2 linked regions of the Nothobranchius furzeri genome follow. The protein of the gene in region 2 interacts with the protein of the main gene of each other region in a pairwise test. Links are inferred from orthologs where the notes say so. Each region holds a gene or a part of one and is shown on either strand. Other genes may lie near its edges. The genes, in order: grap2a and garem.

Evidence for each region.
Region 1: the proteins of garem (region 2) and grap2a interact in binary tests that used the Homo sapiens proteins (3 or more experiments, as listed by UniProt). The link is inferred for Nothobranchius furzeri from reciprocal best matches to the Homo sapiens genes GAREM1 and GRAP2.

What each region holds. Positions count from the first base shown.
Region 1 is NC_091745.1:28,837,288-28,841,686, reverse strand, and holds the start of grap2a (GRB2-related adapter protein 2a), read right to left. Parts: upstream 2,833-4,399; 5' UTR 2,603-2,832; intron 1-2,602. UniProt on the Homo sapiens protein: Interacts with SLP-76 to regulate NF-AT activation. Binds to tyrosine-phosphorylated shc.
Region 2 is NC_091747.1:36,778,207-36,782,746, reverse strand, and holds the start of garem (GRB2-associated and regulator of MAPK protein 1), read right to left. Parts: upstream 3,105-4,540; 5' UTR 2,908-3,104; coding exon 2,787-2,907; intron 1-2,786. Other genes in the region: ncf2 (neutrophil cytosol factor 2), read left to right, coding at 4,157-4,330.

The sequences.
Region 1 (4,399 bases), on a different chromosome or scaffold from region 2:
GTCCAGGTGAAAAGGTTTGATCTCCTCAAAAACAGAAGAGAAGCCTCGGTGTCTGCTTCAGTGGTTTAACAAACAGGCAGTAAATCAAACCAGGTCATAAACAGTCAGCCTGAACTCACATGGAAGTGAAACGCCTTTCATCTGAAACGTGGAAAAGTAAAAGTAATAAAAGCTTTTAATAATCAGAGACTGCAGGCAGCAACGCGCTCAGCTTCAGGGAAGCGGGAGGCAGACGGTATGAGTAGAAAATAAAGAATCGTGAAACACGATTCCCAATGCTCGGATGAATTAAGCTTAGTGACTGTTTTCAAACTGGCTCTTTTATCTTCTGACATCTTAGATAAATGTAAAAAAATCTGATCTGTCTGTCTCATATCGGTTTATTCAACCGTGGAAGTGTTAAGGGCGGACCCAGTAGAAGTTTTTGCATGAATTAAATTAGTTGTTTTAGATGCTCCATCAAAAGGACTGTAGCGGTTCCAGAAACGTTTTCAAACATTCAACAGATCAAAGTCTTGGTGAGAATTCAAACAAGTCCAACGAGTCAACGTAAAAAATCTGGGAGATGCACCCATTCAGCTTCTGACAGCCGATACCCAACTCTGGTTTATTAAACCAACCAATGTTACTTTAAAATCTCTGATGAATGAAATCTGAAAGTAAAAACACCTACATAGTGTTGTTGCTAGCACCATGGCTAGCACTTAGCAACGCTGACTATGTGGACGTGGAAAAATGCCAGATTGTTTTCACTGATGGTTGGTAATAGTGTGTTTATAAACCAGTGAAAATAAAATATCATTTTGAGTATCAAAGTAGCTGAGATCATGCATTTCTGGGAAAAAAAGTGTTGTAAACCTAAACAACAGTCAGTCAAAGAAAAGCATCGCAGACGTCAGTCTGGGGACAGAACGCTGCACTTTTAGAAATTTTGACTGAGTGGGTACATAACAGTATTATTATTCTATATACAAAAAGACGAACCTTTACCATGTTCAAAAACTCACCAAATGTATACCAAACATAGATTTTGCGTGAAAATATATTTTAAAGGCGCCGCAAAAATTGCAAAGGAAATTGCTCAACAGCGACCCCTGGAAGCGGGAAAAATCTGCATCCCAATGTACTTTTTTTTCATAGTAGATGTGTGAATTTTAATACACTTGTAGTACTCCCCAAGACGCACAGAAAAGTATCCTGTAGCCATGGTCAAGACCAAACAGGAAGTCGGCCATTTTGGATTGAAGTTGCGCTTTTGAGCCCGAAATGGCTGTTTGTAGGGTCTGCATACGATGGCAGTAATCCTTAGATTACCAGAAAAATTTGCTTTTTGTAAATGTGGAGGGCCTCAAACTTTGACTACTTGCCAAAAAATATAAATGTGTCATGAACAGAACTCAGAAGACCCGTAATGACGCCCAACACAGTAAAATTCCTTTAAAGTCTTTATTTGGATGAGGAGTTACGCGAGGAGGGCGAGGCAGGAGACAGAGTCGGAGGGCAGGCGTGAGTAAACCAGATCGGCACAAGCAGGTACAGGGAACAGGCTGGAGACGTGGCAGAAGACAGGCGAGGGTCGTGATGGCAGGCAGAGTTCAAGGCAGGGGTCAGGAGAAAAACGAGGTCCGGAGGCAGAGATCAGGCAGGGTGGATGGCTGGAGAATTTACTGGGAAAGGCTTTCAATAACCTGGCACTGAATGACTGGATGGCTGGTTCTTTTGTAGCAGGGGAAGCAGGTGTGAGTGATGAGCTGAGGAGTCAGGAGCAGGTGAAGTGAATGAAGCTGATGACAGGAACAGGTGAGATGAATGGAGATGATTGTGGTCAAAGTATGACATCATCAAACCCCTGCCCCCTCAGGACTGAAAAGGTCATGTTTTACTCGGAAAAGTCCCAATTCACCTATTTCATGGAATCAACACACATCTTTTGCGGGTAGCTGAAGACAAGTGAGGGTTGCTTGCAAAACAATAATTTGGTCTGGTTCACTAGGCTAGGTAGGAGACCAGACGTGGTTGGATTTCCGACAAACATCACAACTTCTCATTTTTATTTACCTGGTTGGAATTTTATTGTATTTTATATCTAAACTAGATTTCATGTCAGCTCACTTCCTCCACCACACACAGTGTGTGTGTGTGTGTGGGGGGGGGGGACATTGACCTCCCATACAAACTATTTCTGATGGCAAACTTCCACCTGATGCAGATAAAAACTTAATGAATAACTAAATCTAGACATGAGCTCATTGGTTGTTTTTTTTCCTCACAGAAAACGTTTCCCAAAGCAAGAAGAGAAACATTCAGTTCAAATTCAAACAGGAGCCTCTGACACACGGAATAAGAAATAAAACGGTAACTTGATGTGTTTGTTTATCTGCCTCAAAATAGGAGCACGACTTTTTACCACCAGAGAGAAAGAAACAAGGACAGCTAAAGTTCTGTTCTAGAAGTGTCTGTAAGCACGTGTGATGTTTCAGATCTGAGAAAAGAACAGAGAAGTGAGAAACAGACAGAAAGAGGAAGAGGAGTCAACCGACCCGAACCTTACTCATCTGGACTCAGAGGCTTTTATTTTTAGGATTTGGGCTGTTTTCCTTACCTTGAACTTCTGTTCGTCCTGATTTTATTCTCTGAGCTGCTCAACTTCTCCCTCCTGACTGAGAGCCCCGCAGCATCATTCAGAGTCCAGAAGATCCGTCCAACCAGGCCAGGTCCACACGGGTAGCCCAGGTTCTGGCTCAGAGGCCGAGTGGAGAGGAAGATGAGAGAGATCCGCGAGACTGGTGCTTCAGAAACAGAAGAACCGCCTTTCTCCAAAAGCAAATTAGATAACATCCGTCTGAAGAGACCTAGAGCCGCAGAATGAAAGCTCAGCACAGCGCCCTCTGCAGGCCACACACCCAAAAACTCTACCCGCTGAATGCGGAAAATTACAAATAAATCATCATCATCATCATCATCAGTAAAGTTTTTAAAAAAGAACTCAAAAAATGGTTAAAGTCTAAACAACAATGTCTACATGAATAGTTTAAAACTTACATTGATGCTCAAATTGCCTTATTTTTCTTTTTTATTGAAAATTGTTTGAAATTTTAATCTGTTTTCTGTTTGATTCATTGTTGATTTCTTTGTACAATGCATCTGGTTTGTCCAATATACTTGCTGTGTCCATGTCAAATAAACATCACATCATCATGCGGCTCTTTAATCAATACTGCAAATAAGTTTAAATGCCATATTTGAATATGATTATTAATAAAAATTCCTCATCAGCATAAAACTGCAGGAATGATTCAACTGTGACGATATTTTGACTCTGCTGATTAGAATGGTGCTTTATAGCAGAACTAGTGCAGAAACCAAGTTTAATCACAAACAAAATAAATTTGTTTTTGTAGCTGTGGCAGTCTGGAGTCAGGATCTACAACAGATGTCCTCTGGAAATCCCTAAAGGGCTCAGATGAGTGTCACGTTTTCAGGCTGCTTTTGGTTTAAAGGGATGACTGTAAGTTAATGATCAGATTCAACTGAATAACAGCAGAAATAAATCCATCTATAGGAACATAAATACATATCTTCAGATGCAACGATTTATGGTTTTAGGGCCGATGAAGATTTCTGATTCTTCTACAGTGGGATGCGAAAGTCTGGTAAGCCTTGTTAATCTTCATGATTTATTTTGTATGAATCGTTGGTTGTTATGATAAAAATGTCCAGTTTACTTTATCATAAAGGAGACACACACAGTGATATCTGAGAAGTGAAACAAAGTTTATAGGATTTACAGAAAGTGTAATAATTATTTAAACGAAAATAGGCAGGTGCATAACTGTGGGCACTTTTGTCATTTCATTGATTCCGAAACTTTTAGAATTAATTATTAGAACCCAAAATTGGTTTAACTCTCTGGAAGCAGGCGCTGCAGATTTGCAAGGTTAAAACCCGCCTACCTGGTTACTCCACGTATTTCATGAGCATGTTTTAACTCAGATGTACTCCTGAAGGACTTAGTTGTTCGTCCTTTTAACAAAACTTATTTTGAGCCTGAGAGCAGCGCCGCCACTGTCCATACGCAAGGTACGCAGAGTGCGTAGGGCCTCGGTACCTGGTGGGCGGGGGGTGGGGGGCAAAAAATTATTACAGATTTCAGTTATTGTTACAGCAGCATATTGCAGAAAACATACAAATTAGTTTCCCACCGTTTGAGCTGTTGAGAGTTATCTTAATTTTGTAGCCCGTCAGTCACAATTCGGGCTAAATAGCTATTCTTATAATTTACAAACATTACCCCCGCAGCCAGTAGCGGTTTTAGGCACGGGCAGACAGGGCAGTTGCCCGGGGCGGCATTTTTTCATGACACAAAAGGGGCGCACAAGCGCGGAGTAAAAAAAAAAAA
Region 2 (4,540 bases):
AATATAAAATAATAAGAGCTAAAATGAAAATTGTAATACAAAAATTATATATATATATATTAAAATAATGTTAATCATAAATCTATGGTTTAAAAAAAATATATATAAATAAATCAAATCAAAATTTATTTATGAAGCACTTTTCATGCAAATGCAGCTCAAAGCAGTCGGTTTCCCACCCCTCCCACACTGATTCACATAAGGGATCCCCTTTGTATCTCCCTCCTCCCATCCTCAATCCCGTCCCAAACAGATGCAAACTCCCGCACGCACACGCACGCGCGCTCACACACACACACGTAATAAAGGGCAGCTGGCTGAGTGCAGATGTAGTAGGTACAAAGAAGACGAAAATGCCATCAAAGGAGCCAACTGCACCGGAAGCACCAAGATTGGCAGCAATAGCCTTGGCTAGAGTAGACATGGGAAGCACCCCGGCCTCCACAGCCCACCGCTGCCCCCGGGGCAGCCAGCCCCCACAGAGGAAACACTGGTTTACTAATGAGACTAAGATAACAAGTTAAGAAACAAATTAAACATAAACAGCTGATAAATAAAAATCTAAATAAAACACAGTGATAAAAGATAACCTAGTAGAAACATATAATTAAATTTATAAAATATTGTACAACAAAGTATTAAGACTGGTTAAAACTAATAATTATTACAAGTTAAAATAAATATGTAAGAAAATGTGTTATTTAATTAAAAGAGTAAGTAATAAAACACTGATAAAATATATAAAAGATGGTAAAACTGGCTAAAATAGATCAAAATCACTTAAAAGCTATACTAAAAAGTTGAGTCTTGAGCCCGGCCTTAAAAACAAGAACACTCTCTACAGCCCTGAGGTCCTCTGGCAGACTGTTCCAGAGGCGAGGGCCATGAAACTGGAAGGACGCCTCGCCTTGGGAGTGTGTCCTGACTTTTGGAATGACTAGGAGACGGCTGCCAGAGGAGCGCAGCGACCGCGAAGGCTCGTATTTATGAAGCAGTTCTGAGAGATAAGAAGGCCCAAGACCATTAAGACATTTAAAAATAATAAAATAACTAAAAGCTCTGTTAAAAAAAAGAATACATAAAAGAAACAAATAGATAAATAAATAACCTAATTTATTTATTTAAAAAGTGATAGTAATCAGTTAAAAGCTAAGCTAAAAAGAAGGGTCTTGAGCCTGTTTCTAAAAACAGGTTAAAACCATCAACTCCACTCAATGGTCAACTTTCCTTGCGGAGTCACACCCATTAGGACAGTGGGAGGGTTAAACAAAATGTTTTTTTTTTCTGAACATAGGCTACCTGGTTCTTTCTTTTATGAGTGTGAGTAGGAAATGAAATGAATCGCTGCTGCATTTGGATGCACTCAAGGAGGGAGCACTTGCTCACAGCCAGAGGTTGCATCATCCATTCATCCTTCAATACCGTTAAATTTTAATTCATTTAAAATTAATATTTAGTCCAAACAAGCTGAGCAGAGTGCCCCTGTAACATATAAAACATGCAATTAAACAATTCACTTAAATTAGGAACATTTTACCTGCATTGGCCTGTACGTAAACATTAACAGGTCACCTCCAGCTTGTGCGTAATCAAATGTCTCTAGGGAGTTTGCTGAAGAGGTTATGAGGTTCTGGGCTTTTGTTTCAGACAGACTTGTGGATGTTTAAATGTTGTTATGGATGAATCTGCGGTCCGCTGACACGCTGGATTCAAGGCAATTGCTGGATAACAAGCACTATTTAAGCCAAAGTTTAAAAATCTAATTATTTAATGACACATAAACAGAAGTATACCAGACTCTCGGAAAGATAGAAGGGTTTCCACTCAACACTGCGCTATTGTGCACGATGTCGAGTGCGCCAGACGCTCTCTGAGCTCCCTTCAGCGCACTACTTGGGCACACTGTCAGCAGCAAGATAAGGAGAAAGTGTGAGATTATGCTCAGATGCACTGATAGAAATCTTGATTACCTCTGCGATGTTCTCTGTGCATAACATGTAAAATATCTGCGCACCTGCAGGAGTCAGTAACAAATTTACATGGCTGCTTATACTGAGCCAGGATCCTCTGGAGTTTATTCCTGTTAAAATGGAGTTTCCCTCTCCACTGTCGCTAAATGCTTGCTTAGTATGAGGATTGCTGTAAAGACTCTGACACTAGTCAGTGACTCGATGCAACCTGCTGGGTTCCTTATATAGGAAACTTTTTACTTATTGGCTGTGATTAGAATGACATTTGATAAAATAAAATAAAAAGATTTTCGGTTATCTTACAGATTTCTGAACATTATAATACAGCAACAAGGCAGTTTGGTAGAGTTTAAAATAAAGATATCTATTTAATAGACAACTAAATGTGACTGTGGCTGATACATCTGTTTAATTATTCATTTTGACAGTTTCAATGCTTCAGATAGTCTAGAGTGACATAAATGCAGTCTTGAGAAGCGGATCAGTGCTGACCATAAATCAAGATGTTTTGTTGTGATGTGAGGATGCATGAAAGCATTCAATAATAAAAAGTTGCTGTGGTACAATAATGTAGTCTGTCAAGCAGATGCAGCACTTTGGCTACAAAATGCTTGAGAATGTAAGCATCATTAAGACATACATATATATATATATATATATATATATATATATATATATATATATATATATATATATATATATATATATATATATATATATATATATATATATATATATATAAACACCAACTTAACAGTTTGTTGATGTTTAGCGCAAAGATGACTGCTTTAAATGCATAATAACAAAGTTACTAACCGCTGTCCAGTTTGACGATTTGGGGCATTTTATATGCACTGACAAGCTGATCCAAAGGTAAAGACGTTGAGCTCCAAGTAACATCTTTCAAATTATTGTACAACATTGTTCCAAGGTCCATCTTGTTAGCTCACATTAGCCAACTCTGGAGCTAGCTGTGTGTAAATACGGACACAAAAGGGTGCTCCGAGCTACCAACACAAATAATATAGCAACTTAATCTAAACAGTCATACCAAACATGACTTATTTCTTGTTAATCCTTACATAGCTCCAATTTTCATTTGTTCTACGCATCATAAAGGTTCGTACTCCGAAAGTGTAGTAGAGCCATGTTTGTTTAGCTAGCGATGAGCTAACGGATAAACGTTTTTACTCTATCAAAATAAGAGCATTTTATACATTCAAGTAAAGAAGATACGTTATTATTGAAAGGCGAAATCGTTGAATTCCTTGAGAATATATAAATACACATTTATAATATGATGTTAGTGTTGTAAGAAAACGCACCAGTATTTTGTGATTATAGTCATGTCACAAGAAATTTATTTTGAAAGGAAAAACCCGGAAGTTGTTTTTGTGCATTTGGCACAAAAACACATCATATATTTACTAAATAAATATTGCAGCTCAATAAATTTAGAATTATTAAAGAAGAACAAACAATAATCTGAACATTACTTATTTCAGTAAAAATGTCTGAATGTCATCAAAGTTAAGGTCGTTACAACACTGGAAATCAATTTGAGTTTTGGATTTAACATTGTCAAAGTGCCATGTTTGTTTGTAAATTTACAAAATAAAGTTAAAAAATAATTATTTAAAAAATACTAGAAATCAATTAGATGTGAAACATTTTTCATTATGCATCTCAAGCTTTTCTGCTTATAAAATGCCAACGTTAGTTTAGAGCTAAACACACACACACACACACACACACACACACACACACACACACACACACACACACACACACACACACATTTAAACCCACAATTTATTCAAAGATAGAAAATCTCTAGAATCTAAATCATAAAGCTTTTGTTAACTGTAGGCTAATATTGATGGAACTCAAATAGAGCATTTGACATACCAGATAAAAAATAAACACAAGACCATCTGAAAAAGTAGATATAAAAATATACATATTTCCTGGACACAATGTGCAAATTGTTTGGTACATCAGCAGTAAGTTAGAGTGCAATTATTGCACTGAACGGGAGAAAATAATTTAAATGTGGCTTTAGCACTTAGAGCTGATTGTGATGCATTTGTAAATCGTAACAGCTGTCATCACACTTCCCAGTTTCACTGGTACAAATAAGAAGAACTTCCTCAATGTAGAATCAGTGTGCTGGTAAGCCAACAAACATGTCTTATGTGGACACTCTGCGGCAGTGGGACAAAGCTGTAACTTGTGCCGACAGACAGGAATGGTCAGAAGCCCTCTGCATTTTCTTATCCATTCAAGAACCAAATTCCAAAATTTACTTTGACATTGGTTGCCTTCATCTTCTGAACCAAGACTTGGATGATGCTGAAAAGGTACGTTAGATCTACTTTATTTTAAATCAAATCTGCAAGTCTGTGCACGTAAGAAAGTAAAATCATCTGGATTTATTTGGCAAGGCTGAGATGAAACGTGTCAGATATAAGGAGCCCTCCGGTTGGCTCACGGGTCCCCTGAACAGATCAAACAGGATCAGAAAATATTCAATTTCAATTTTCTTGGCAGCTGAGGACCCATGGTCCGGA